Coturnix japonica: one gene and its partners. The protein of the gene in region 2 interacts with the protein of the main gene of each other region in a biochemical or structural test. Links are inferred from orthologs where the notes say so. Each region holds a gene or a part of one and is shown on either strand. Other genes may lie near its edges.

Evidence for each region. The genes of interacting proteins can lie anywhere in the genome.
Region 1: of the proteins of MCM2 (region 2) and DBF4, one has a biochemical effect on the other in vitro, tested with the Homo sapiens proteins (3 studies listed by BioGRID). The link is inferred for Coturnix japonica from reciprocal best matches to the Homo sapiens genes MCM2 and DBF4.
Region 3: of the proteins of MCM2 (region 2) and CDC7, one has a biochemical effect on the other in vitro, tested with the Homo sapiens proteins (8 studies listed by BioGRID). The link is inferred for Coturnix japonica from reciprocal best matches to the Homo sapiens genes MCM2 and CDC7.

The regions. Positions count from the first base shown.
Region 1 is NC_029517.1:18,962,096-18,971,798, reverse strand, and holds the end of DBF4 (protein DBF4 homolog A), read right to left. Parts: intron 9,254-9,703; coding exon 9,184-9,253; intron 9,054-9,183; coding exon 8,977-9,053; intron 8,571-8,976; coding exon 8,540-8,570; intron 8,311-8,539; coding exon 8,265-8,310; intron 6,853-8,264; coding exon 6,721-6,852; intron 4,318-6,720; coding exon 4,200-4,317; intron 3,002-4,199; coding exon 2,877-3,001; intron 2,071-2,876; coding exon 1,017-2,070; 3' UTR 858-1,016; downstream 1-857. UniProt on the Homo sapiens protein: Regulatory subunit for CDC7 which activates its kinase activity thereby playing a central role in DNA replication and cell proliferation. Required for progression of S phase.
Region 2 is NC_029527.1:7,357,670-7,367,885, reverse strand, and holds the end of MCM2 (DNA replication licensing factor MCM2), read left to right. Parts: coding exon 1-105; intron 106-380; coding exon 381-588; intron 589-1,055; coding exon 1,056-1,190; intron 1,191-1,395; coding exon 1,396-1,587; intron 1,588-2,569; coding exon 2,570-2,663; intron 2,664-3,280; coding exon 3,281-3,531; intron 3,532-3,780; coding exon 3,781-3,907; intron 3,908-4,108; coding exon 4,109-4,221; intron 4,222-4,327; coding exon 4,328-4,570; intron 4,571-5,301; coding exon 5,302-5,484; intron 5,485-6,414; coding exon 6,415-6,570; intron 6,571-7,158; coding exon 7,159-7,269; 3' UTR 7,270-8,220; downstream 8,221-10,216. UniProt on the Homo sapiens protein: Acts as a component of the MCM2-7 complex (MCM complex) which is the replicative helicase essential for 'once per cell cycle' DNA replication initiation and elongation in eukaryotic cells.
Region 3 is NC_029523.1:12,577,428-12,587,643, reverse strand, and holds the end of CDC7 (cell division cycle 7-related protein kinase), read left to right. Parts: intron 1-262; coding exon 263-441; intron 442-1,684; coding exon 1,685-1,767; intron 1,768-4,617; coding exon 4,618-4,767; intron 4,768-5,658; coding exon 5,659-6,035; 3' UTR 6,036-6,802; downstream 6,803-10,216. UniProt on the Homo sapiens protein: Kinase involved in initiation of DNA replication. Phosphorylates critical substrates that regulate the G1/S phase transition and initiation of DNA replication, such as MCM proteins and CLASPIN.

The DNA.
Region 1 (9,703 bases), on a different chromosome or scaffold from region 2:
GTAAGGAACACTAACAGAGTGACAGTGTTAAATGGGTATATTAATCATGTATTTACACTTTCATTCAAAAAATAATGAGAGTAATTTCTGCTAGTTTAGCTCCTAGCTTGTAAAACCTTAAGGCACTTACATTTATTAACAAAGTTTCACAACTACCCCCATCCCAATTCAATACTCACGCCCTGCACTGATTTACAAACATGGAAATCCTGAAAGAGATCAGCTCTGGTGAAGACTCAAAGTATTAAGAAGTTCTTCCAGTTCCCACCATGTCCCTCATTGTGCCTCCAACCAGCCCAGTCAGCCAGGCTGGCCAAGTGGAAAGCAAAAAAAAACAAACCAGAGGCCCAAGCTGTTCAGAAACCTATAGGATGTTTTGAGTTTGCTAGTGCTGCCTTTACAACACATAACTAGTTTTATCTAAGAATAAACGATAGCAGAGCAGCTGAAGAACCCAGCATACGCTCTTCTGATGTTATATCTTTGTGACTGCATCAACTCCCCACCTCAAACAACATCAGCAGAAGAGAACTTCAGAAAGCAAGTCACGTGTTGTTTTTTTTTGCATTCCCTGGTGAAGTAGTAGCAGAAGGAATATGAGAAGCAAACAAACCTCCACAAATCATCAGGGGTTCGTAAGTAATGGGCTGTCTTATTTACAGCAAACCCCCCAATAATTTATAATGTGGTTATTTAGAATGTACTGTGTTCAGTGTGCCCAATGACTCTCAAAAAATACCCAACCCAAAAGCAGCTATATAACGCTTACTGATTCTGCCAAGCAATTAATAAAACCCACAATCCAGTGGTCTGAACCCTTTACTAGCTGTAGTAAAGCAGTAGCTTTTAAGAAAAAGAAAACCCTTAGTAAGTTTTATTCATATTTACACACATAGAAGTTTTTGCATTAAAAAACCCTTGAAAATGAATTCATCTGTACATAACAAGAATATTTCCAAGAATAAAATCTTAAATCCACAATTTATTTGAAAAACACTGTATTAAATAAAGCAGCATTAAAATCCAAAGAACGAGGATGAGGATGAAGAGGAAAATAATGAACCAACAACATTTGTGTTCCACCCTTCCCATACATCTTCTGTGCCAGTAGAATCTTCATGATCAGTGTAAACCGAAAAACCTTTGAATTCAGATTTTATTTCACTTGTCTGAAACAATTCCAGCAGGGTCTGCACTGGTGAGCTACAAGCCCTTTTCTCACTGGGGTCAGACAGTCCATCTGCGTACTTCACGCATAACTCTATATTCTGTTTCCGGCTTTCTCTTCTATTTCTTCCTAAGCAAAGCTTTACTTTCCTGTGCAGCTTTCCAGATGGTGAGCAGTGTGCAGTGTTGGCAGCCAATTCATTAAGTTCTTTGTTTATAGCAGACTCGGATACCTCAGCCTCCACAACTGCATTGTGCTGCATCTGTTGATGGTTATCGCATAAATCACGATGTTTCTCGACACACGTAGGATTGGCATCTGTTTTTTTCAAACATTTTGCTGGTAGAACTACTGCATGATTTAATTTTCGTTTGGGCTGTGCTGAGTTTTTGTCTTTTTCACTAAAATCTGTAACTTGAGTGTGAGAATATAAAGTACACGCACCTTCCTGAAAACGCTGTAAACACTTTTTATTTACTTCTGCTTCGAGTGTTTCTTTACTGAATGGCTCAAAATCTTGATGGAAGTTCTCCATACACGATTTACCATCTTTCTGAGGAAGTGGTTGTATGAAATTTGGTGACTGTCCTGGGTTTGTGGCACAGAAGCAATCAGTTCTTGTATTTTCACCATTATTACCGAATTTACTTCTTTCTTCTGGAGGCTGAGACAGATGACAATAAAGAATTGAACACAGAGATGCAGAAATAGGGGGAGGCACTAGCACAGAATTTGGTTGTACTTCTGTAGGCTGACGATCCAGTCTGAGTGCCTGCATTGCAGTATCTTTCCACAAGTAGGTTTTCAATGAAACGCGTTGCTTTTTGAGTCGTTCTTTCAGCTCATCTGGTCTCGTTATCTTCCCAATTATAGGAGAAAAATATCCTGTACTACATTTTATCCTACAATTAAATTGTTTATGATGATTAACAATCAAATGGTTGGAAGAAAGTAACATAATTCATTACGCAAACAGACCTAGAAAAGCAACTAAACTGACGAAGCAATTTTTGTTCTTTGCATTCAAAAGAAAGTTAGGATAGAAATATTACTTCTGCTGGAACAGAGTACCTTGTATTTGAATTCAACGTTTTACTATTGATTTCTACATCTCATGAAGCTGTTTGAAAAATACACAAAGGTAAGCAGTCTAGTATTTCAGTAAGCTTCAGTCACAGTGCTACTAAGTACAAAAGTTAATGAATGCAAAGCAATGACAAATACCTGTAAATATTTTACTGTGTATACACACAAGCTTAGCTCAATTATATATTTTTTCCCCCAGGATAACATTATAGATTGCAGACAATAACCTAGACTACATGTTAAAGAGATCAGATTGACTGAGGAGGTTATTATTTGTTCGTCTCAGGCTACTAAGAACATCAGAAAGTTTTTAGAGCAGACATCCAGGCACAGCTGTCCTTCCGTCAGCTTTATCTTAGAGTGGTTGACAACTTGCTTTTCTGAAAGTTACGAATAGGTTGAACAACTCCTGTAAAGTCTCCTTAGCCCCATATTCCTGTGATACAATACTCACTAGTAGTTTTTCCTTCTAATTTCGGAAACTACTGCATTGCAAGTTCCAGTGATGTTCATCAGAATGAAAACTATGAATTTGCTCCATACCAGGTTCAGAATTTTGTAACTAAAGTATCTTTAATGTCTTAATTAACAGCAGTTTTAAAATTAAGAATGTGCAACTTACCTTTTCATGTTTTTCTCATCATCCCTGTATTCAACAAACTCATTAACGAACTTGGAGATTATATCATCAACAATTTGGTACTGTGAGCTTCGTGCAAAGTTCTGGTGCTGTTCACTTTCAAGATGCTGGAATTAAAAGGTAATAAGAGTAATGTTACAAATGAATACATAAATCAATATTCTGACATGGAGCAATAAGTAAATACTGACAATTTATTGTTGCTGGAATAGAATAGTTCCATTTCAAAGGGATTCACAAAGATCACCGAGTCCAGCTGTCAGACTACATCAAGGCCAACTTGAAGCCAGAAAAAATCACTAAGAGCATTATTCAAATGCCACTTAAACACAGATAGGCATGAGGCATCAACCACCCCCCTGGGAAGCCTGTTCAGGTGCCCAATTGCACTTTTGGTAAAAAAATGAAATATATATTTTCTTAATCTCAACTCTGAATACTCCCCATGACACCTTTGAGCCACTGCTCCACACACTGTCAGTAGATACCAGAGAGAAAAGATGAGCACCTTTCCCTCCACCTCCCATGTTCAGGAAGTTAAAGACAGTAATAAGATCATTCCTTAACCTCCTTTTCTCCCAGCTTCACAAACCTAGCATCTTCCTCATTGCACCTAGCCCTTTTAACCAGATTTGCTGCCCTTCCTGGGATCTTAGTAACCTTTTTGAACTGTGCAGCCTAGAACAGCACAAAATAATCCAGGTGAGGCCACATTAATATTAAATATATCAGAATAATCACTTCTTTTAACCATCTGGCTATGCTGTGTTTAATGCACCCCAAAGTGCAGTTTGCTCTCTCTGCTGCTGGGGCACAACGCTGGTACACGCTGAGCCAACTGCCAACCAGAACCTCACCTGCCAGACAGATACGGTCACATTCACTACAGCCCCTTAAGCCAGTTCTTCACCCAGTGCACTGCATACTTATTTGCCTCATAACTGGAAAATTTGTCCCAAAAAATACCACGAAGAACAGTATAATCAGTCTTGCTAATATCCAGAAAAACCACATTCAACACATTCTCTTCATCCACTAAACAGGTGATCTTAAAATCAGTGTCTCTGAGACAAGAACCATTAATGCTTTCAGCCACCATACCCAGAGGCAGCAAAACAAAACCTGAAATAGAAAATGAAAAAAAAAAACCTTTACTTGCTGCTTTTTAGGAAATACACTCAACAGGCCTTTTAGAATTAAATAAAATAATAAGATAAGACAAAAATTAGAACAGCAAATAGAAATTGTTGATTCTACTGTTTTAAAGACGGTTTGAAAACAGTGTATTTCATGTTCCACACGTACAGTTTGTAGATCTTCATATTTCTTCCCACAGCATTCACAATATCCTCTCCTTTTTTTGTCCTTCTGATGAAGCTGAACAAGAGTTCTACAGTCCTTGTCACTATTTATTTTGTTTCTGCTAAAGAAAAGATATAAATTAATGAGCACTACACGTAAGAGCTGAGTTCTATAAATGCCTCCTACAAAACATTCCTTTTCACTCTTATCATTTAAAGCAAAAGAACATCTTCATTTCTTCTCAGACTACTTAGACCACCTCAGTTACTGCTCAGGAAAATTAGAATAGAAATTAATGCACTCAAAAAAATAATAAACAAATTACTGCAACAAAACAGGCATGTCCACTGGAACTACACACGTGAATAAAACATCCGGGTTAGTACAGATATAATATCACTGACTCAGATTAAGCAATGCTGAACTTATAAAACAAATCTGACTTGTCAAATCAAAGGATTTGTTGAAATTTCTTTGTATAGCTGGTAAAAGGAGGTTTGATAAAATCAAAACTGGGGAAAAAAAAGAAAAACATCTTCTAGCATCTCATCTCCTGTCGTTATTTTTGATAAAGTATTTGGTATAAAAGATGACCTTTCATTCTTCAATAAAAGGTAAATAATACTCCTATTTGTTGGTTATATGCAGCTTTTGAACATGTTGATGTTCAAAAGTTCATGTTGATCAAAAATCATCATGATGTTCATGAAATTCAAGGAAATGAACCATAAGTTCTTCCAGAAAATTAAACCACAAAGAAGCTTTCAATATCTGTCCCATGACCTTCAGTGTCCTTATCTGGGCAGAGCTACCATTTGTTGCAATTCACTACCAAGCTACCCTCCAGCACAGCAAAATCATCAGTTCCTAATTTCATTTTACTTCAAGAGAACAGTGCCACCTCCCTGTCTAGTCAAAAATCGTATTGCCAGACTCCACCAAGTATCTGCATAGATGTTTATATAAAGACCAACCAAGCATTTGTTCAGATTCCAGAGTCCACTTTTAATACTGCACTAGCTTTTTTGCTTCTACCCTTAGGAATGTAAAAACCTACTTAGAACCACTTAAGGCTTGCAAACAACAAGAGAAAAGAGACAGAATTTATTATCTGAAACGTGAATGATTGCAATCTTTCTGCGTATAAAGCAAGTAAAACTGACATCATCTTCCACATACCACTATTTCAGATAAAGATAAAACAAGCAATCATTCTCACTTTTTCTTTCTTTAGAAACAATGACAGTCATCACTTTTAGCTGCTGGCTATGAAATAAATAAAACCCCACCTAAACATCTCTGGCATGTGACAGATTGAAAGATTAATGACAAATATTAATTTGAACACAATTCCTGAAACAGAACTAACGCACTGTATTTCTTAATCTATACATATGAAATGACTATTGTACTCTTCATTTTAAAAAGCGTTTAAAGAGAACAGGCTGTCCTAAGGCCCCTTTGAAGAGACACCATCAGAAACACACTGCTTAGTGCAAAGGTTACTGCACTAGTACGTTGCTACATTCATTTATCACTGTAACATCACCTGAAAACTTCCAAGAGTCTAATAATAGTTTAGACTGGACAAAATCTGGACAACACAGGAACAATTTATAGAGAAAACAAGTATCACACCTAAATAAGTTTTAGATTCAAAGGTCAGAACAGCAGCTAAAGTTACCAGACACAGAAATTTTCATGTAAATCAAAGCTGCTTTTCACCTAAATGTTTTAGCCTCTGCTATGAATCAGTTATTGAAGTCAAACAGACATTTGTAGTCTCCATATATGCAAGAAAAAAGAAATCAAGGACACCAGATTCCCCCAATAAAAGAAAAATCATATTTGAAAGTTGTTTCAAATCATAAAATTGATTTATCAAATGTCTTAACTGCAACCGCAGCACTCAGAGCCTGAATGTCAAACCATATCACATAAACACTTACTGAATGACAAACTAACTGCAACTAGTATCTGGTTTTCATCTCTGAAGCAATGAAGCAACATTTGCAATGTTCTCATTTCCATAAATTTAATTGTGCATGTAAGGAAGATACGCTCCTTAACAGCAATGATTTTGCAATATAACTGAATATCACTTTTAACAATTTTTAAGTGCTTTCCTTTTAGCTTTTTACTGACAAACATCACAGGAAATCTTAAGAAATACACTTCTTATAAAATACTTACTGGATGGCATCCAAGATGTGGACAAAGAAAAAAAACAGTGACAGAAAGGAAAAAAAAATCTTTTATGCTGACCCACAATGATAGGAAAATGCTGCATTTTTGGATGTATGCATTTGTGTGCCCCAAAAAAGAACTAAAGGCAGGATAAAGAGGGTACAGATGGACAGAAACAGTCACAGTGTAGCAAATGCAACAGTCCAGATGTAGAAATTAGTATTAAATATCACAGAAATAAGAGGCAGAAGAATTTTTAGAAAATAATTGTTTTACAATTGTTTTAGAGAACTTCTCTCTCCACTGTATACAGTGCAAAAATGCATGACAGACAAACCTTTGCTTAGACTGATTCTGTTTTTGACTGGAAGGATGCTTCTTATCCACCTCAAACGGACTACAAGGTTTTGGAACACAGAAGTTGAGAGCTGGAAAACTCGGTAACTGCAGATAGAAGGGTCTGTAGGAGCTGTGTTAAGACAAAACAGGTGCATTAGAAGCATCAAAACAACCAAACAGTAGTTTATACTACAAACTATAAATAGGTCAAAAGGTCTTTGAAAACAAGCTTCTCTTTCACATGTAATGTACAAAAAAATGCTATGCAGATAAATAACCTAGGAAAAGTAATTTCTTTCTTCCTTCCTCGATACCTCCTCAAAATAAAAAGTTTGCCTTGAGTTTTCAGAGCTGTCAAGCACATTCCACAACTATGGCTGTCTTTAATGCAGTAGGTTGTGGAGATCTGCACAACCAATACAATTAACAGCAATTTGGATGAAAGTAGATCCATGTTCCTGAGATACAGCAGTTCCTACCTCAAAATTTTATTTTATTTTTTTCATTTTATCAGTTTCTCCCTTTTTGAAAGGCTTCCAATTCATCATTAAAAACATTTTAAAAACTGAACAATAAATTCCCAAGGAAGCAGTTTTTTCCTGCACAGAAACATACATAGAGAGATAATAAAACTAGCAAGTACACCAGCACTCGCATGTATTAGAAGTGTCTGAAAAAGGTAATGACAAAATTCATATAATTAAATCACTTGCTACAATCTTCAGAATCCAATATGAAATTAAAATTCACACGTCTCTACATTTTGTGCTTGAAAATGCACTTGTCCCACTCTCCCCACTGCTCTCATACCCATCACACCAATTCTTACCAGCACACAGTATAATACTAGATTCAAAATTCCCACTCATGTTGCTATAGTTCATTTTTACTCCCAGCTTCTGGCAACCTCTTTACTTATTGAGGAGTTACAACATCAGATCCAATCGGTTACAAGCTCAGAAAAATGCAAAAATTGTCAAGTCTGAAAGTATCAGATCTTATGATCCAACAGATAATGAAATCATATTAGCAGTTGTGTTGTTGTTGTATTTTTAAGTAATAAATCACTGAAGCATAAATTCAGCATAATTCCAAGGAATGTTTTAAGGCATAATGACTTCTTTTAAAGTCTCTCAAGACGAACACTAAGAGTTAGAACTACTATTTAATATAGAAACCTTTATTAGCCTTTTTGGCTACATGAATTGGATCTAAAAACAGGCAAGATGTCAGGTTTAAAGTTTCCAGCCTTCCTCCTTTTAATTCATCTGGCTCTAAGAAGAAAATAATGCAGACCAATCCCCCTCTCCTGATCTATAAATTGCTATACATTAACTTTTCATTGCTACTACCCATCACAAACATTTCCCATCATACTAACACCTCTTTCACTTCATTCACAGGCTAAACATGGATACCTACCCAGACCACACAGAGACTGAACAGTATGTCTTGCCCTTAAAGTCAGTAGACCATCAAGCCATACTACTTTCCTGAATCTCTCAGTTTGAGAACTACATTGAAAGCACACAGAACACTCACCGACTTCTATCTTCCACCTTCACAAATGGATTTTTCAGTCTACCTGCTCAAGGTAGGAAAAAAAGGAAATTAAAAGAGAAATATTTTTGTTTAGCGAGTTTACTAGTTGTTGAACAGATAGGCATTATTTTAGAACTCATTATGTACGTGCTTTGACAAACACAATTTTCAAGACACTTCCTTAGACCTACAAGTTAGAAGACAGTTTTATATTTGATCCATTTATAAGCATTCAGAAAGTTCAGCAAAACCTCTACAAATACTGAAGTACTTACTTTTGGACTTTTGTGCAGGAACTTGTTTTCCCTGTTGAAAAAAAAAAAAAAAAAAAAAAAGGGAAAACAGAATTCCTGTGAATATTATATTTCACATTTTATCTCAGTACTTGATTTTAACTCATGAGGGTCTCCCTATGACAATCATGACTTATTTACCGGAGTTGTGGTAAATTTGGTAGAAATCAAGCTCGTCAGGAAATAAATACAGTCCTGTTTCCTAAAGCAGCACTTATTTATACGCTGCAAAAACAACTGATGTCATTGAGGTGATGGTCTTAAAATCAATTCATAAAATGTACTAGTCAGTGAAAAACAGAACGTGAGAAGGACTTGATAAAATAAAATCTGTATGCATCACAGTAGGCCATATTTAATATGCCTGCCTTCTATCATTTAATCACATTAGCTTTTACAAATGGCTAAAACCCACTTACCACATCTTTGAAAGAACTGCCTGTGCTTTTGATTAGGTAGAGCTCCTTCTTCTTTTGTTCAATGTAATGCTTAACATCTAGTAAAGAGAAAATTATATTTAGCTGAATTTATTTTTGCATGTTTGAAGTTATTCATCATTTTTAATATTTATAACTCAAAGAAGTTTAAAGAAAACGTTCAATTAATGCTTCACCAAAGCTATTTACCATCAACATGAAGTACTTTCACACCCCAGTTCAAAGCATTGGACAGTATGCTACCAGAGGGGATTAGTTCCTGTGAAAAGAAAAAATTCTCATTTTCAGCAGTAGATCAAATAAACTGTCATAAATATCAATATACTACATCTTGTAATAAGAACTATCTTATGAAAGCTGAGATCTGACTGTAGACTATTTACTTCTTGCCAAAATACTTACAAATATCCTCAACTGACTTTTCCATCTCCATGTCACTGCACTTCACTTATCAAAGGATTACAGTTAACATCTCACAAAGCCAAGAGCCTTCTCTACTGTCATACTTTATAGTATGCAATACTTGAAGACAATGGATTTGTACATATAATTTCACAAGCACTTCTCAAATGCTAGATACAATTACAACCTTGATAAAATATAATACCGATTATAAGACTATAAGACATTCAGCTCTTCAGGAACTACCCAGAAAACATCATCTGACAGTTATGCTTAGAACAATTCCCCAATTCCTGCCTGAACATCC
Region 2 (10,216 bases):
CAAGGAAGTGGTGTTGGCCATGTACCCCAAGTATGATCGTATTGCTCAAGAGATCCATGTTCGCATCTCCCATCTCCCTCTGGTGGAAGAATTGCGGTCACTCAGGTAAGCAGAACTACCAGCAGTGGCTGTAGGACCTACAGCAGGATTTGGGGTGCTAAGGAGAACTGGTCTGTAAGGTACAGTTCCAGATAAACCCAAAGCTTATAGTGGAAAAAGAGTCTGAACTTCCAGTGTCCCCTAAGGGAAAACGCAAACCTTGATCTTCCTACCCAAAATTGTTTCTTAGAAGGCCTTTGGTAGGTGTGTCTTCAAGCAGAAATGTGTCTGCAGGGTGTTGTGCTTTCTGTGCCCTGCAGACATCAAGTATCTCTCCTCAGGCAACTACACTTGAACCAGTTGATCCGGACCAGTGGAGTGGTGACGAGTTGCACAGGGGTCCTGCCTCAGCTGAGCATGGTCAAATACAACTGCACCAAGTGCAACTTCATCTTGGGACCATTTTTCCAGTCCCAGAACCAGGAGGTGAAACCCGGTTCCTGCCCGGAGTGTCAGTCTCTTGGTCCTTTTGAAATCAACATGGAAGAGGTAAGAGTTGTGTGTGCCTGGGAGCTGCTTAACTGCACAGATTAAGCAGGCTGCTGGTCCTGCCCAGGCTGGACAAAAGCTGTCCAGCTGTCCTCCTTTCCAGGTTAGGTCAGTCTTTCCAGATCTACCAGCTAAGGAAACTAGAGGACTGCAGTAAAATCCCTGATCTGGAGCATCTGGCTCTTATTCATTGCCTTAATATTTTTAACTATCGTGAGTGGAGTGTCTTTCTCCCAGGAACTGATCCAGGTTGGACAAAACTCAGTGATCAGATGTGGAAAAAAGATCTGTCAACACTGTTGTCTGTCGCAGTCTGGAGTTGCTCCTGTCAACCTCCATCCTCCTATAATTTTCTAGCCAAAATAAAGTAAATCTTTGAACAGACTTTTTCCAGCAAGGTGCCTTTTAAAAGTGGTTGTGCCAGTGCCATCCAGGCGTGCTGGTTAACTTTTATTTTCCTGCTGCAGACGGTCTATCAGAACTATCAGCGCATAAAAATCCAGGAAAGCCCTGGGAAGGTGGCTGCTGGCAGGCTGCCCCGCTCCAAGGATGCCATTCTCCTTGCTGATCTGGTTGACAGCTGCAAGCCAGGGGATGAGATTGTAAGTACACGGAGTGAGCACAGAGCACTTTTAAACTCTGACTGTAACATCAAGGGGGGCATCAGTAATTATATCAGAGGAAAAGGTGGGAAGATTGTTTCCAGATGCATTTGGGCAGCTGCTCTCAAGTCTGGTATCTTAAAATGGAAAGAGGGGGCCTGTTTGATACCGTGCAAGCACTGACAGACCATCTCCTGCTTCCCAGGAGCTCACAGGGATCTATCACAACAACTATGATGGCTCTTTGAACACTGCCAATGGGTTCCCAGTGTTTGCAACTGTGATCCTGGCCAACCACATTGCCAAGAAGGACAACAAGCTGGCTGTCGGGGAGCTGACTGATGAGGATGTGAAAATGCTTATGGCTCTGTCCAAGGATGAGCAAATTGGGGAGAAGGTGAGTCTGTCGCTAATACACCCTTCTTTTCCTGCTGAGAGCCAGCCATCATCTGGCAGTTGGATCAGAAGGAGATATGAGGTGTCATCTAAGCTGAACACTGGGTGCTCTTCTGACTCTCCTTTCCTTGCCCTTCTGGAGATCAAATTTTCTGTTTCTCCCCTTCGTCTGATGCTCCACCTAGCTGCAGGGCTGAAAGATGGGTGAGATGTGAGGATACTGCTTCTATTTGATCATTAGTTTATTTTGCTGTATTCTGAAAGCAAACAGCAAGGAAGGGTTCCAGTGCTTGCAGAACTGATTCTATTGAGGAGATGTTATTACCTAGCTAAGCTGTGCTGGAGATCTTAGTCTGTCTCTGCATGCTGAAACCTGAATACAGTACTCTGAAAAAGGCTTCTGGACTGGTGCATGTTCAACCTCACTTGACTTGAGTTTAAACTCTCCAGTGTGGAGACTTCACTCTGTTGCCTTGGCTGCACAGTTTTTAATAATGACTGTGTTGTTTCTGGTGGGTAGAGTAGCTCCATTTTAAGTCAGGACTGTTTTAAAATCAGTAGTGTCCAGCATCAGGCTATTATCAGAATACGCATGAGATAATAAGCCTATTGTTCATTGTATTTGATCATGATTCACATGTAACACAGCCGATTCAACGACTGTCATGTGCAGTAAGTAGGTCACAAACTGAATCAAGGTCTCACACTTTGCAACAGGTGATAACAACCACTATGGTGTGCAGCTGGAGTCTGGAGGCAGTGGCTGCTGCTTCCAGCACTAATCTTTACATTCTCCTGTGATCAACTTTTTGATCTGGGTTGATAATTGCCTTTGGAGAATCCTCCTCAGCAGGGACAATAAGACTCTTTGGAGACAGCTCTATAGTAGTGGCAACCATAGATGAATCCAGGCTGGTTTTCTTGCTACTTTCTGCCCAGGATGGGAAATGTTACTCACTAGATAACTCTGCTTTTCCTTTCAGATTTTTGCCAGCATTGCCCCATCTATTTATGGGCATGAAGATATCAAGAGGGGTTTGGCTTTAGCTCTGTTTGGCGGAGAGCCCAAAAACCCAGGTGAGTGTAGCATGTTGCAGAGGACTGATCCAATGGATCTGGGTTTGTCAGTGCTGTTGCAGTGAGTGGATAGAGTTGTCTGTGTTTCTTGGTGACAATGAACTGACTGAGGGAAATCTCTGATTGAAGTGGCTGTTCTATCGCACTGAAAACTGGTGTGAGAGTAGAAAAGCAAGGACTGAAAGCAGCTCCTGCTGCAAGCCTAGGCGTGATTTTATTTCCCTTCCTCTAGAAAGTCGGATTTGATGCCCCTTTAAAGGTTTGATCTGTTGGTGTCCTGATTTGTTACCATTTTAAAAGAATGCATTCAGCAGGGTTAGAAATGCTTTTTTTATGCTCAGTTTAAAATGCTGCAGTGGAAAGGAAAAAGCTCTGCTTTATTCCCACTGCTTATGTGCTGCTATATTTGATCCTTCAGTACTTTTGGTTCTCCTTGGTGTTCTAAACCGTAACAAAATCTGACAACAGTTATGTCTGATTTCCCTCAACTTTCCTGTAAAGCAGTTTCTCTGCATATTCTGCCTTCCCTTCAGCTTTGTGTGGTATTCAGGGTAGGGCTGCTATCAAGCCTTGTGTAGATGACTGAGCTACTTGTGTGTCTCCTGTTACTGTTGTAGGTGGCAAACATAAAGTCCGTGGGGACATCAACGTGCTTCTGTGTGGAGACCCTGGTACTGCAAAGTCACAGTTTCTTAAGTACATAGAGAAGGTGTCTAGCAGGGCCATCTTCACCACTGGCCAGGGTGCTTCAGCTGTGGGTCTCACAGCTTATGTCCAGAGGCACCCAGTCAGCAAAGAGTGGACTTTGGAAGCAGGAGCCCTCGTGCTGGCTGACAGAGGCATCTGCCTGATTGATGAATTTGACAAGGTGAGTCCCAGCTGCATCTCTCTGGGAAAGCAGAGCTGTGGAGGGGCTGGCCATAATCTCTGTGATGAGGACTTGTGATAACTTGGGGTTCTATCTGCCAGCAGACTGGGCTTCCTGCAGTTTGTTTAGGCCCTTGCTGGTCTGCATAGTACAGTTTGCTATCTCTTCAGAGTGTAAAGCTAATGCAAGCTAATTCCCCTTGGTGCACTGGGCAACACTGACTTGAAGTGACTCATTGCTTTCTTGTAGATGAACGACCAGGACAGGACCAGCATACACGAAGCCATGGAACAGCAAAGTATTTCCATCTCCAAAGCAGGCATTGTTACATCCTTACAGGCTCGCTGCACTGTAATTGCTGCTGCCAATCCCATAGGTAAGTGCTGAGAGCCACAGGAGTACTCACGTCTCCATATCAGTCCTGCTGTCTCAAGCACTATGGTGCAGCTTCCCTTTCTTCCAGTCTGGAACACAAATCAAGCAAGCAGTAAAGGCTGTCTGTGAAGTAGATCGATGTTTACCTCAAAGCTTCAGCCCTGAAGCCTCTGGTTGATGTTCAGGTTTGTCTCTGCTCCAGGTGGTCGATACGATCCATCATTGACTTTCTCAGAGAACGTAGACCTGACAGAGCCCATCATCTCTCGATTCGATATTCTGTGTGTGGTTAGAGACACGGTGGACCCTGTGCAGGTAAAATCATGCTGTGAATGTGCCTGTGCTGGGCTGTTAGGATGCTCAGCTAGTTTTGCTGTCTAGTGGGTGTCTTCACTTCTTTTACTACGCTGTTCTTTTGTAGGATGAAATGCTTGCCCGGTTTGTTGTTGGCAGCCATGTCAAGCACCACCCAGGTAGCAAGGAGGCAGTGAATGGAGATGCCAGTGAGGTTATTCTTCCCAATACATATGGGGTGGAACCCATTCCCCAGGAGATCCTGAGGAAATACATCGTCTATGCCAAAGAGAAGGTCCACCCCAAACTCAACCAGATGGACCAGGACAAGGTGGCTCGGATGTACAGTGACCTCAGGAAAGAGTCCATGGTAAGAATACTGAGGAAAAAGGGGGAATAAGTGTGTATCCAGACTGCAAGTCAGCCTGTGACTGCTCCAGCGTATGTTGACATGTTCTAGCTATTCATTTCACAAGAGTCTGTGCCACTTCTTTTTGTGAGAGACGGGCAGATTCTACAGTATCAGGCTGAACAGATGATTCTTCAGTTAGATGCAGGGTCTTGCTTGTAGATGATACATAGTGTGATGGACTGGATGCATATACTAGGGTCTGCCAGAGCAGAGCCTTTTCGTTGTGACCCAGTCTGGCAGGCCCACAGGAGATGTTTGCATTCACTCAGATCCATGTGCTTTTGCTGTTACAAGGAGCTGTTCTCTGTAGAAACATCCTCTTTTATCTGGGATTTATAAGGCTCATTTCACCCTCCCCAGTGTGGAATTTTTTGAGGTCAGACTTCATGAGCATGGGAAATTTTTTAATTGAGGATTGCTGCTCCTGGAAAGCCACTAAATGCTGATAAAGAGGGACCCTGTGTAGCATTCCCTCTTGTTCTACCAAATTAAAATGTAAATATTGGAATCTGTACCACACTGTGCAAGATATGCCAGCAGATGGCAGAGCCTACTTAGCTTTACACAGTCCTTAGGGATCCAAGCACCATCTCCTGCAGTGCAAAGGAGGTCCTGACCCAGAAACCACCATTCTTACCCTGTGTCTTCTGTCCTTCACTAAGGAGTTTCTCCCTCCTCTCCCTCCTTAGGCAACTGGCAGCATCCCCATCACAGTGCGGCACATTGAGTCCATGATTCGGATGGCTGAGGCTCATGCCCGTATGCACTTGAGAGATTATGTGGTGGAGGATGATGTCAACATGGCCATCCGGGTGATGCTGGAGAGTTTCATTGACACGCAGAAGTTCAGTGTCATGCGGAGCATGCGCAAGGTGGGTACAACCCTCTGGGTTGAGCTGCAGCCCTTTTGTTTGCCCTGGCTGATGGAAGAGGATTCTGTGTGCTCTGTAGGAGTCTGTCCTACACAGACAGGTGTTATGCCTGTGCAAATAGAGAACTGTGAGTCTGAAGGTACTGCTGCCTTTCTCTGGTCTGTAGCAGGGCATGTAAGGGTTCTCCTAGCAGTGTTGTTCTGTCAGGGCTGAGATAACAGTGAGAATAGATGTGTCCCAAGCCTCTGTATCCAAAACACTGCTGTGTTCCTTGTTTTGCCACTTTTTCTCCTGTTTTGGCCCAGCACTTCCACTGCTGTCACAGCCAGTGGCTGTTTCTCTGCAGTTTTTCTAGAACTTCTCAGGGGATGGATAATCCCAGCGCAGCTCACACTGTGGTTCAGTGAGAGGCTGCCCTTTGAGTGGCAGGGCCTGGCTCTGAACAGCTCTTGGCCAGCCGTAGCCTGGCATCTATCCACAGAGTGCCTGCCCTCAGTCTGGGCGACTCGTGGCCTCTCTTCAGCTGCTAATTGCCAGCCTGACATGAGAGTCTGCAGGGCACAGGGCAGTCTGGGTTAAGGGATACTGCCCTACCCTTCCCCAAGGGCAGCAAACCTCCGTAGTGGTGGTACCCTATCAGCCCCTGGGAGGCTTCATGGCTGCTGCTGAGATCTCTTCAGAGATTTTGTATGGGTGTCAGCAGCTAGCAGAAATGTCTTGTATAATACAGAGCTGTGTTGTTACTGCATGTGCAGGTGGCAGCTTGGCAAGGCTGAAATCCCTTAGGAGACTCTAAGTGCAGGTGACAGTGGTGTCATTTGATTCCCCTTGTGCTCTGTAGGAGAAGGGATGGTTGATTTTGGGTATGGGAGACCCGCAGTGCGGCATTGGGTTCCTGATCCTCATGGTTTGTCTCATCCTCCTTTCCAGACATTCTCCCGCTACCTTTCCTTCAAGCGAGACAACAATGAGCTGCTGTTGTTCATCCTGAAGCAGCTGGTTGCAGAGCAGGTGATGTACCAGAGAAACCGCTATGGGGCCCAGCAGGACACCATAGAAGTCCTAGAGAAGGATCTGGTGGATAAGGTATGAGCTTATTCTAGTAAGCCTTCTGTAGGCTTGGTTCCTGCTTTGTGTTAGCAGCCTCAAACTGAGGTGTTCTCATGGCATATATCTTCCCAAGTCCATATACCAGATAAACCCAGTGTTACACAATTCAACCCAAAACAAGGACTGTTTCATTTGTCTCTACTCCTGTCTTGCCCAGGAGTACCATATTCTTCCTTCTCAGTCTTCATGCACCCCCATAAAGCTTCGAGGCTGAAGTGTTAAATCCTGACCACACCCTGTCAGAGATACTACATGACTGCCTCTCACTGGGTGAGCTCTGGGATAAGAGCTAGGTTTAAATAGGTATGCTTTTCCTCCAGTGGAAGTAAAAGGACAGACTGAGAGCAGGCAGATGCTGAGCCAGCATCCTCTCTTCACTCAGCTGAGCTCTGCCAATGCTCTATTCTCCTGACCTGCAGTCTCCCCTGGTACTGCAGTTCTGGTTCCTGCTGAGCAGAGATTGCTGACTGACAAATTTTGCTTGCCCTCTGCTGTGGAAAACCACATGGTGCTTATTTTTCTGAATAAGCATTTACCTCTCTCCCTGCTCTGTCCTCTTCCCAGGCTCGGCAGATCAACATCCACAACCTCTCTGCCTTCTATGACAGCGAGGTGTTCAAGATGAACAGGTTCAGCCGTGATGTGAAGCGGAAGCTGATCGTCCAGCAATTCTGAGGCTGGCAGCAGAGCCCACCATGTGCAAAATGAAACCTTTGTGCTTCTGCCCACCTGGCTGTGCTACAGAGCTCACAATCCAGAGGGACTAAGCTACATGTTCTCTCGCTTGCTTTGTGCCTTATGGATTAAGGAACTGCTGAGCTGCTGAAGATATTGTAAATAGAATAGAATTAAGTAGTTAAATGCCCAGCCAACTCTGTTTAGCAGTTTTACTCACTGTTCTGCTTTATAGCTGAGACCAACAGGGAGAGAATTGCTGGCCACGTAGATGGTATGTTTGCTGTTTATTTATCCCTAGTTGTTAAGACCTCATCTGCTGGAGGGATGAGTGGGAGCATTTGAAAGGCATTTGCCTGCCTTATCCATGCCCTATGGTTGCAAGCACCTTCAGGGATTCTTTTTTCCCATCTCTGGTGACTGCAGCCCTCTGAGTGATAATTGAAACTGCTTTCAGCTCCCTGTGAACAAGCCAGCTGCTCAGCTCCAGGCCTTTGCACCTGACACTTCACATTTCCCCAGGTGCCCACATGGGCTGACCTGCTTGGTTTCTGCATGTGAAAGGGAAGGGGCAGAGGAAGATGAGAAATGAAATAAAGCTTTTATAATAAAAACATTTATAATAATAGGGGTGGCATGAATGGGCAGTGGAAGTGTCTTCCAAACATGCAGGGGCAGTATCCAGAAGCATCAGGGAAAGGGTTTCCCCTGACTCAGTTGGTGATAGCTCAGCACAGCTGTCAGCTGATGTGAATCTACAGCTCTATCTGAGTGCTGGCACCTGAACTGAGCAGCACCTCGTATCCTTTTATTCAGATTTTATCTAGATATTTTGAAGAGTAGCAGTAGAGAAGCCGTGAGTTGGAGAAATTAAGGGGAGGGTAAGATGTGGTGATAATTCATATGCAATTTTCTTACTCTGTGCATTTTAATACAATTTGTTTTCCAATACTTTTGTGTTTCCTTTCTCCTTTTCTTTTAAAGTCCTTCAGTTATAGTGTGGAGGTAGAGCATAGCTACGCAACCTGAAGCTGCACCAGCTGCTCAGCAGTTTGCTGGTGGGTTATGGCCTGGGTACATACATCCTGTGGTCTCCAAGTTGGTGGGCATTGCTCATGCAAACAGAGGGAGATGAGTCCTGCCTGTAGTGGTTTCAGCTATTGCATCTCCTCCTTGGGGGTAGATACCAAGACATGACCGTGCACAGCACAGCCACATAAGCTGCCATTCCCTCCCAGCTCTAACCTGGAGTTTTGATCCCACTGTGGGACTCTGTCCCTTAAATGCTGCTGTCACCTCAAGACTGTTCTAGAACAGCACTTATCTGCCACCTTGGCTGGCACTTGGGGATACCAGTCTAGGAGAAACAGTCAAACTTCTCCAGGGTTTACTGAAGTGAATGTGCTTTTTCTGGTTGGATGTGGGGACTGTACAGCATCTCCAGCCTCCTCCTGCCTGTGCTCAGGAGAATTTGTAAGCTGGCTGCTGCAATTTGGTGTTGGCTGAGCAGACACGTCCCTAGCTGCCAGCATTGTGGAGTTTTGTCATGGTGATGTGTGTGTGTGTGTCCCCTCTCAGCCTGGTTGTTGTTCAGGAGCTTGAACCCTGCTGGGGGCCTAGCACATGACTCTCATCTGAAACTGGCTCAGTGTGTTGCCTTTTCTGTCTGCCAGCTCCCTCCTGTGTATTTGTTTAACTGTTTTGGCTGGCTTTTTCCCTTCCCACTGGGTCTCCGTCTACCAGGGCTTTCTGCAGGCAGCCTTCAGAGTCACTTTCCTGGCATGCCCTCCTTGCCTGATCTTGCCCTTTGCTCTCTGAATGTGAGCTTGTGTCAGATCTGTGGTGGGGATAGCAGTGCAGCTGTGAGCCTGGAGACATGGAGTAAGGAAAGCCAGAGTGGCTCCTGAGCCCTGGGCACAGCTATATTAGCACCTCATCTAATGCCAGGGGCCAGGCACAGGGGCAGTCCCTGGGGAGAGCAACTTCACTCACTGCCTCATCTTGAATCTTCACTACAAAGATAGATATGCCTTTCTACCTTGTGTTGCCAGCATCCAGCAGAGCAATGAATTTTTGCAGCTGTGCCCTTGCTAATGTTGACATGAGCCGCTCAGTGGAGTGTTAATGCCAGTCTGAAGGCATGTTCCTCCTCTCACGGCCACTGAGCTTTCCAGGTTCCCTGGAGCAAACTTGGGCTGTTGACAGCATCAGGTGTCTGGTCTGGATGGGGGTGCAGACGGGTGAAAATAGATGCTGCTTTAAGCAGGGGCTGCCTTGCCAGGGGGCATGTTCCAGCTGAGTGTAGCAAGGATTTTCCTGCAGGGCTCTGGAGATATCTAGCCAAGCCACACATGAAACGAGTTGCTCCCCAGACAACCCTGAGTGTAGTCAATCTTGAGCACTTCTTGCTGCTGAGATTTGGATGCTGCACGCTGCCTCTGACCACCTGTGGCAAAAGCAATGTTCTGGGGAGGTGAGGTTGGTCCACAGCAGTTTGTGTCTGGGCACAGATGGAAAGGTGATGGGCTTGCTGTCCGCAAAGCAGGCGGAGCTCTGTGATGCCAGGCAGCATCCCTTTTAATCAGATAGGATTGGAAGAACATCTTGATTCGAAAAGGGCACAATGGGTCAGATCCTGATCCAGTTTAATTTGAACATGCTGTGTTCATGCTCCTGAGGGAACAGCATGGCTCTGCATCTCATAAAAAACTGTTAGTCCTCAGCCCAGTGTGGAGCATTCTGCCTAGATGGAGTATAAGCCTGATCCTTGTGGGTCCCCTGGGACTCAGGATGTTCTGTGATATATACAAATACATACGCTGTATCTGCAGGTGCCTTCAGATAGCCAGCTAATTTGTTAGGGTATGCAAGATGGAAAAAAGGGGAGTTAGAAATCCTTCCTCCTTCTTGCAAGCCCTTTCCTTCTTACTGAAAAGGTTTAGAATCT
Region 3 (10,216 bases), on a different chromosome or scaffold from region 2:
AAAAGAATGCTTGAAAAATTATACTAACTTGAAAAAAAAACACAACTTGAAGCTTCAAAATATCTACTGGATATTAATTTTTGTAACCACTAAAATACGAAGTACCTTTTGTTGATGTTATGATTTAGGAGAAAGATTTGCTGTCTTCTGTTTTAAAAATTGGAGCTCCTTGCCGATGAGTCTTCAGTACTTTCAAGACAGGTATCTGTATGTAACAGGAAGCTTAAATATTTCATCTTCTGAAAAAATATCTGTTTTGCAGCTCTTTAAACAATCAAAGGTGATCGATGTTTCATCTAGGAAGTTAGTAACAAAGAAGAAGATTATTTCTACCAAAGCCATGAGCAATGGGCTGGGCAGGAAGGCTGCCAGTGGTTGTCCATCAAACCTGACCTGTAACTGTTACGCAACGGACAGAGTTTGCAGTGTTTGCCTTTCAAGGTAATTTGCTTCAACAATGCTGTAAAATTGCTTACTATGCTGCCAAACAAGTTCAAAAAGCTTGAATTAACCAGACAGCTGATTTAGTAGGTGAAAGACAGCATTTGATCTGTGCAGCCCTTATGACACTAAGTGAGCTCTTTAAAAGGAACAGTTCATGGAATTTGTGGAGTCATTGGTTCAGTGCTATTTGCAGCAAGAGATTCACTGTTATGATTTTCTGTTGCTGTTGTGTTGAATTATTTGCATTATCAATATGTGTTGTAGAAAATAACCTCAGTTAGTTACAAAACAAGAGTAGAAAATAATCTGTCATTGATCTAATAGGCCTAAATTATGCCAACTGCATTGAAATTCAGTGATTGGACTCTTGCTTTCTGAGAACTTAAGGCTAAATACATTCCCCAGGCTGTCTGTATTCTGGAAATCATGAAATGTAGAATAAAAGGGGAAGATAACAGTGCTGCATTTCTCAATTTGAAACATTTTAATAGTGGATAGGCCAGAGAGTCTAAATAACTCAGTTCAAATCCAGTCCTTTGTAGTTCATTTTGGCTATGATCTACCCTTACCTTTCCTGTCCACTTAGGGAACAGAAATTCCTGCAGAGAAATCTGCTTGGTAGGCGTAGTCATGAAACTGTGGTACTTCTCTTTCCTGACTGTCAAAATATGATGTTATCAAAGTCAGTTCAGAAATGAAACATGGGGAATTTGCTAGACTCAAGAAACTTGGCCTGCAGACAGAAAGCACTTTGGACCTTCTATACATTTTTAATAACGATCTCACACTTTTTAGTTAATCTAACAAGAAGTAAATTCTTGTCAACACTCAGAAATAGTGAATCTTAGTTTGCTCTGGATTAATAAAAAGCCATACTGTGCACACCCAAGAAACTAATGCATTTTTTACCATTGGTTAATTAGTCTTAACTTGAAAGTTCCCTATGAAAACACGTGTTGTCATTGAATAAAACTGAAAATATTGTGACTGAAATATGCAGTAAATACTCCTTCTACACATTATAACAAGATCAGTAATATAATAGGTAATTATAATAAGGTTATTTCATATGAAGTAATAATTATATGTTAGGTAATTGTAAGATATTTCAGACATAAAAACTGAATAGGGCAGATTTACATATCTCACAAAAGTATATTGTAAAAATAGTAGATATTGTTATAATTAGAATTTATTTCTCAATATGGATATTCTGAACATATTTGTCTCTTACTACAAGGTGTCAGCAAGTTGCTCCCAGAGCAGGAACACCTGGATTCAGAGCACCAGAAGTACTGACAAAGTGCCCCACTCAGACAACAGGTACAACATAGCAGACAAAAACTAAATGCCTTTCTTTTTCTTAAACCTGTCACTTACGCATTGACTTTATCTTTTGTATACCAGGCTGTTACACATGAAATTCATTTTCTTATCCCTTCTAACATTTATGAACCATTTCCCAAATTTAATTTGAAGTTAATTACTCCGAATAAGAAGGATCGAGGAATATTTTCCCATGTTTGAAATTTGAATGTCTGTATCCCTTTGAGGGGTACTGCCATACGCAGGAGTTCAATAGCACGTGTTTTAAAAGAAAACAAAGTTGTAAGTTTTATCAAGTTTCTTGGCTCACTGGCTTATTTATTCAAGAAAAATCTTAAATAAATCTTAGAGGGGTATGCTTTCTAGACAGTTTGACACGTGTATTTTGCTGTCTTGGGCATAACTAATTGTATCAGTGCAGTTTTTTATGTTTTTTATGATGTGTGTCAGTTAATTGGGACTTTTCACTGGATTTTTTTTTTTCCTTTTTGCTAATGCTTTAAATAGATGATCTGTAAATGTCATGATTTTTTCTTACTAAGATTTTTAGTTTCTCAGGGCTAAAACCTACATGTTTCAGTAGCCTGGTAAATATTGGAGAAGAACTAAGGGATGATTAATGCCGTAGGTGATGCAAGTAGGCTGGGAGAAGCTGTGCATACATGAAGAATTAGAGGGCTGATACAAAGTTCAATGTGTCACGTATGACCAGAAGTTTTGATTATGAAAATGAAGGATAAATACAAATGTTCTCAGAATTTGTATTTAAAATAAGTTTATAGCCATCTTTTTGCTTAGCACTTTGTGAGCATATAGTCAATTTACAGCATTTGAAAGTTCTCATACACACTCAGAGCAGCCTTACAATACGTTTGATCAGCATATCAATTGATAGCTTAATGCTATTTGAGGCAGGATCTGTGTTGTGGGCATGGCTGGGATTTCAAGAGGTATGGCAGCCTACTTGGAGTCACCGTGCCTGTGCAGTAACAGCCAGCTTTATGAGCTAGAAAACATCCAGAAATCCAGGATAAGTTTAGACAATCCCTGAATCCGTCTAGACAGAATTTATGCAGAAAGAAGACATACTTAAGAAATCTTGGACAGAGGGTTGTCTTAAGTGTGCTTTCAGACAGTTCTCTGTTCTCTAGGGTAATGGAGGGCAGGACTACAGAAAATATGGGTAGATCTGGAAACCCTTGGGTGTGGCCCTAAAGGTACTGAGTCAGTGGTGCAAAGCTTCTGTAATACGTCAACAAAGTGCTTCATTAGAACCGGGTAGAGTAATACTAATAGAGATAATGCTGTACTTGAGCTAACAAATCTCCTTACCCAATAACATCTGGGACTGCTGTAGTCACCTCCTTGTACTCCTGCCAATCTTGCTACTAGTTTTGGTCTTTGTGCCAGGACCAAGTTATCAGCTGGATCCAGCTGGCTGTCCAGAGCTACCTTAAGTAACTGAGCCATGTTTAAAGCACAGAGAACACAACCCAAACCTACAACTTGGCCCTAAGCAGATCCAGTTACAATTTTTAACTTGATTTGTTCCTTAGTTTCCCGTTAAGATGGCATCCCTCTCTAGCTGGATACTAACCACTAGGCAAATGCACAGAGAGGAATCGTGATTTTGATGTCATTGCACAAGACCTCTCAGTCTGCTGAAGATGCCAGCCCTATCAGAACTGGAGGACATGCTTGTCATTTCAGTATCTAATTGTCTGACAATATCAGGAAGAGCTAGATAAACATCTCTAAAAGCCTTCACCTTAATGACTGTCTTTCCCAACCACATACTAAGGGTGATGCGTAACACCATAAGCAGGTGGTGTGGTCAACATCAATACAGTACTACTAAAACTTTTTCAATAAAAATAAGACGCAACATTTTTGCACACTGAATTGTTATACCCACAAATAATTTGGATTTTGATTTTTATAAGACTTAAAAACCTGTTTGTTTGTAGATCAACTTAGTATTTTCAGAGCTCTTTGCCGATAGTGTTTCTAGCTAAAATGTCAGACTCAATTACTGCACATTTTACTGCCTATTTCTGGAAGATGTGCAGGATGACTATAGCTTTATTTCCCAAGTTAATTTCTCTCTTTGGAATTAGAGAGTCCTTCAAACTCTCTCCTTCACTTTCCTTGCCATCTCTCAAAATGTGCAACTTCACAGAAAAAATTACAGCAGCCAGGTATTCCCATAACTTTCGGTATTAAAGTTTCCATCATGCTTTGGCTTCTACCATCAGAGAACTCCCTGTACTCTTCATAACACAATGAAAGTGATGAATAACTGTTACAGCTCTTAAACAATCTCATCAAGTGGTTTCATATTAGAGAGCAACCAAGTTTGTAGTAAAACAAACCTTTTAGTACGCCTAACTGGCAACCTCAGTCCAAAAGAGGTAAGATTTACATTCAATCCTGAATTACTTTTTATTCATGAACTTTTATATAAAGTTTTCTCAGTCTAAGCAAACTTAATGTAGTATCAAAACTAGCTATTTTTCCCCTCTCAGCTCCCTGGTCAGAATAACTTCAAACATTGTTTCAGTGCATTTTTTTAAAGCAAATTAATGAAATTACTCATGTGAGAAATCCTATAGACAATTCTATAGGCTCTGTAGAAAAGCAGTCATCTGATTCTATTTGCAAGTATATCCATTTACACTGTTTGCTGAAGTGTTATCATTGTGACCGCAGCCTGTAAGTAATTCAGAACATTACCTTCTCTGATAACTACACTTCCGGTTGTAATTTAAAGAATTCGGGATTTTGCTTTTGATGAAATTTTACTTGTTTTACTCAGTTACTTGTTACTAAGCTTGCTTTCTATTGCAGCAATTGACATGTGGTCTGCAGGAATTGTATTCCTTTCTCTGCTCAGTGGACGGTATCCATTTTACAAAGCAAGCGATGATTTAACTGCTTTGGCACAAATCATGACAGTTCGTGGATCTCGAGAAACCATTCAGGCTGCTAAAACTTTTGGTATGCAAACCTTAATTATGGGGAGAAGGGGAAAAATGTATGCCTGGTCTGCTGTTTAATGCAATGATTTACAATCTAGTTGTGACTTGCGTTTATTTTAAACAAAATTTTAACTTTGGGAGTCACTTTAGAGTTAAGTCACCCTTCTTGCATGCAAACTAACACTACTTATCTATATGTACGGAGGTTTAGGAAAGCTTTCTAATTTTCTGTCTTTTATAATTTTTTACATGGAGTAATTCATTCTGTGGATTTCTTAACTTTGCTGCCTTTCAGAGAGTCAGGGCCACTTGAGGTGAAATATGCCAGCTAAAACTTTCCTACTTCTTAGAATTCTTGAAGTAATGTTTATTCCTGCAAAATTTGCCACAGAGCCTTAAGTTGCATTGACTTAATATTTACATGATGCAAACTTTGCATTTTTGTCCAACTTCACGACGGGCAAGCACAAAAACATAAACAACCATTTTCCTCATTGCCTGCAAGCCAAACATTAAAGCACTTGGTACCTGGAAGTATAAATGACAGCATCGATTTTAATTCTCCAGACGGAGGTGTATAAATCAATAACATAAGCAATAAACTGAACTGGGTTTTTAATTTGCAGTTCTGTTAAGATGAGAGTGAAATGGAAAATGATGCTGTGTGACGATTTGTCAACTCATAACTTCATGAAAAAGCACAGTTCTGTTCTGAGCAGAGCTACTGCTGGCTTTTGGGGGCCCTTACTGTAAAACATGGCCAGTTTGTTTGGTTTTTTTTTTAATTATTTTTGAACTAATGTTAGTTATGCTTCAATACGTGAAATTTCTCTGAAACAAACTTAAAAGTTGTAGTTGTAGAGCAAGCAAAATAAAACGTCACTGACTGTAAAACCTGTTTTTCTCCTAGGGAAATCAGTTCTGTGTACCCAGGTTGTCCCAGCACAAAACTTACGAACTCTCTGCGAGAAGCTGAGAGGAACAAATAGCAGCTGTAACAGATCCCACTGCGATGTGCCCTGCAAATCTGGAGACGACTCAGCTTTGCCAGTTGAAGTAGACAAACAATGTGCTCCTGAGATACTCAGAAAAGAAACTCAACACTTAAAGAGCTGTCAGGAAGATGACGGTGCTTCAGAAGATAAGGCAACAGACATGAAAGGATGGGATCAGGTTCCTGATGAAGCATATGACCTACTTGATAAGCTACTAGACTTAAACCCTGCAACAAGAATAACTGCAAAAGATGCTTTGCTGCATCCCTTTTTTAAAGACATGAGGCTATGAGAAGACGCCTTGTTCTGCTCTTGTACGTTTTATGTGAAAGTGAGATACTGAAGGAGTTTTAATCCATTGCCCTTAAACTCATTGAAGTACCATTACACTGTGCACAGCACTACTGAAATTGCCTCACAGGTGGACTGCAAGTGCAACTTCTTAAAGGAAGCTTACAGATGTCAATATTACATAAACATTACTAACGCAGTCAAATCCTAAGATGCTTTTGAGGTGTTGTTACAGTGCCTAAGAAAATTAACTGTGATTTAAAACTGTAGAGTTTCTCACACTAAGGTTAATTCTTTGATACTCTCTCAAAACAGAAATTTGCATTAAGGTATGACTGAAATGAAAAAGTGCTCGAGAGCCTTTTTTCCATAATTGCACACCCCCGCTTTGCTCCCAGTTAATACCTGGGAGACTGAAGTGCACTGATTTTGTTCAGGTGGTTTTTGGAGAACAGCTTTACTTTGGGATTGTTGCTGGAACAGGGGCAGATAGTGCCGGTTTTGTCATCAAAACAAAAACATCACTCTTTTAAAAGTTCTTTTTTTTTTTTAATCCTGTCTGTTCCTTCCTACTTAAGCAACAGTGATAAATGCAGTTAGTCATCTTGCATAGCCTGTATTTCTTCAATGCCACTGTTAGCTGTAAATACACAACAACTGTTGCCTTCAGAATGTCTTGTGTGACACGTATATGTTTGATTTCTGTTACGGAAACTGATTTTCGCAGAACATCTTTTAAATAAAGGGTTTGTTTTTATACCTTCAGAAGCGTGTCTGGAGATGATTCTATAAAAATAGTTAGGTAAGGTTTCCCTGTGGGATACTTCTGTTCAGGAAGAATTATGCAGCTTTCTTTTCTGCATAAATTCCTCAGTGATGTATGATGCTTTTCAGACAGCACTGGTATATATTGCTGTCACAGCGGAAGTATCTTAATTATCAAGGAAATCTTACTACCTCACCTTAGAAGCAAGCTAATGTCTGGTCATAAGTAGGAATCCCCCCCTTCCCAGTACCCTCTAGCCTCATGAATTCATTGCACAGTTAGTCATGTTATTCTCAGCATTTGCCTCTCTAGAAACCCACGATACTTTTGGAGACTGAAATTTAATACAGTGTTTTTCCAATTACATTTCTTGAAACGTTCGTGTGGTTGTTGCTATAAATGGTTACAGCCACTCCAGGAAAAGATCACTGCTCTGATAACTTTTATATAAGCCTTTGCAGAGAAGCTGGTTGTTACATCATGACCAATGCTGTGGCTGAAGGGCAATTATTTCAGTACATTCAAAATCTCCAATACATACAAAGTGATGGTAATATTGCCCTGTCCCTGCCATCAGCTGATAGAGAAAAATATTTGTAGATGTCCGAGTACTGATGGTGGGTGTCAGAAAGAAACCCACAACACTCTGGGGCCCAGGTCTTAATAACTTATGCTGTTTAATTTCAACCCAGCATGTCACTGAGAAATTATTTATCTAGAGCAACCATAGCCAAATTTGGCAAGTGATGCTGTCTGCCAGTGTCTGCAGATGTATTGTTTCCTCCTACGTTCACTCATGCCGCCTGTGCTCTTATGAGAGCACTAGCTGACGGAAAAAAGTGCCAGCTATCTATTGTGAGCTAAATCACTTCGGCTTTGTCAGCCCTCCTGCTCACCACTGCACTGAGCAGCTCCTTGCAGCAGGCACTGCATCATTAACCGCCACTTAAGTTTACTAATCAAAGCAGGTATATCACTGCTGATGGTGCTTTTACTGTTATTGGGGGTAAATAAAATTCTGAAAGTAACACTTCTAAGCTTAGATTATTTGGTAACAAGCTAGAAGAAAGCATTGCTATTCTTCCTCCCGATAGCTATTTATTTAAAACATGAGACGTTCCCTGGGAGAGGGATAAAGCGAAAAAAAAAATGCTTGATAAGATACATGACTACTAAGTGCTGATTCTGGAACACTATGAAAGCATAAAAACTAGAGGTAAAATGTTAAATGCAATGGGTTCTGAACAGGGAGACCTGAAGGGAGAAAATAACTAAGCACTGAAGGCACTTAAGAGAATGACAGCATTTAAAATGAAATTCATGTCTTCTATGGCTTCATATATTCTTATTCCACAACAAAACAATATTGTATCTGTTGGTAGGCTCATAGCAAAGACTGTTTCCTGAGACATTACTCAATATTTATCTATCAAAGTTGCAGTGGGTCCCTTTTCAAATTATTTATTTTCTTTTCAAACTCTTATCACCTAAAATTAATTTTACTACTCACTGGAGTAGTAAACACAGTTTTCCTCCAACACATCCTTATCTAGCTATGAAAGTCGTCTCAAACTTGCTTTCAAAACTCTCCAAGGATCTATTCTGCCCTCTGATATCCAACCCATTTCCATGAGCTGCCTTAGCTCCTCACAGGGCTCCTTTCATTTCCAAAAGGGTATCTTAGTGTAGGAAGGTGAGACACTCAGACTGGGGTGGCTTTGTTCCTCTAGCACTTTTTGTTATGGATTTCATTGAGATAATTGATCACGGACAATTCATGCAGTGCAGATTAGTCTTGTGTGAAGCTTACAGCTAAGCAGTTTTCACCTGCTGGGATTCCCTGTGTGTGTATTTTGGCTTATGTTTTCCATTGCTGGTCTGCTTGCAACTGGCTCTGTAATCTGAGCCACATTTACCATGAGTAAAGTAACATGTAGTTTAAATTTATAGGTATTTCCCCCAGTTGTTCTTGTAAAAAAAAACCCACAGTGTACTGAATATTCACTGACAGCCCATTCTCAGAGAGGAAAGGATCAAGTTCCCTGCTGATCACTACTCTTTTCCTTTGTTAAAATCAACTATTTGATTAATTTGATGTGTTGTAACTTCAATATGGTTAATCTTCAAACAGCCAGAAGAATAAGAGCTGCAAAAAGCTTGGCAAATTATTTTGGGGATGGATGAAATCGTACTGGACTAACACAGCTCCAGAACTGCATTCTCTGGCCTTCTTTCAGGCCATATAAAATAAAACATTCCTGTGAAGATTCATTTCATAGAGCACACAACAGTCACTCCTCCTAGGCAACTTAGACCCTAATGAATTTGGTAGGAAGGACATCACTTCCCTCTCCTGAACCACATACCTTCTGTGATCGTATTGCTTCTAGGACTCTGTACTGGCTTTAGACATGCTTCACTCTGCCTGTGGCCTGCCTATAGAACATAGGGTAAAAAAAACAACACTACCAAAACAATTACTCTTCAAGTATTGACTGTCCATAAATGTGGTTTGTGAAATGGTAATGTTTGGTTATATAATGTATTAATTATTCAAAAGGAGTAGCTATACCACTTACAAATCACAGAGGGGAGCTTCCAGTCTGGCTCTGCCGTGGCCATGCAGGGCTGAGGGCAGAGTGCAGGGAAATGCTGGGTCCCCCACTACACCCCACCCTCCTGGCCCAGGGAGCAGCCATGTGGAGCAGCAGCCCTCCCTTTCTCTTCCCACTAATCATTTGCAGTTTACCAAACTGACAAACAGAGGGTAATAAATAGCTCTTAAAGATATGCAGCTTATTTATCAGGAGGAGCAGAGCTGACTGCAACAGTACAGGATTTTTTGCTTATCAAAACAGGCAAAGAACTGAAAGATGGATGCTAACAGATACTGCAATAAATTCAAACTCCCATCAAACAAACCTCAGCAGCCATTAACGTCCCCAGCTCCAAGGGAGTGAGATCTTCCTGCTGGCCTGTGCTCCCACACTAGGGTGACTGTTCCCTTGATCCACACCACGTAGCCAACTCCTGCTGGTAAATGACAAGGAAGACAGTGTGATCCAGGCCTGATTTCTATTGGTTCAGGAGGAAGTCTTTATAACAGCAGTAAAAATGGTTGCTTTTTCCTTCCCCTTTCCTTTGACTTCTACGTGGTCCTCCCTGAAAATGCATTTATTAAATCCGTAATATGCAATTAAATACCCCAGACCTAAACACAAGATCTTTAAGTCAAATCTTTAACAACTCCTAAGATCGTCATCAACTCTTTGCAAACTTGCTGTGGCAATCAGAGAATTAGGAGAGCTCACTGATTCAGGTGGAGCAATTTCCTGTCAGTGGTTTGCTGATTTCCTATCAGTGTCACAACAAGAATGTGATTTCCTCCACAGATTTTCAGGTGCTGCTATTCCTCA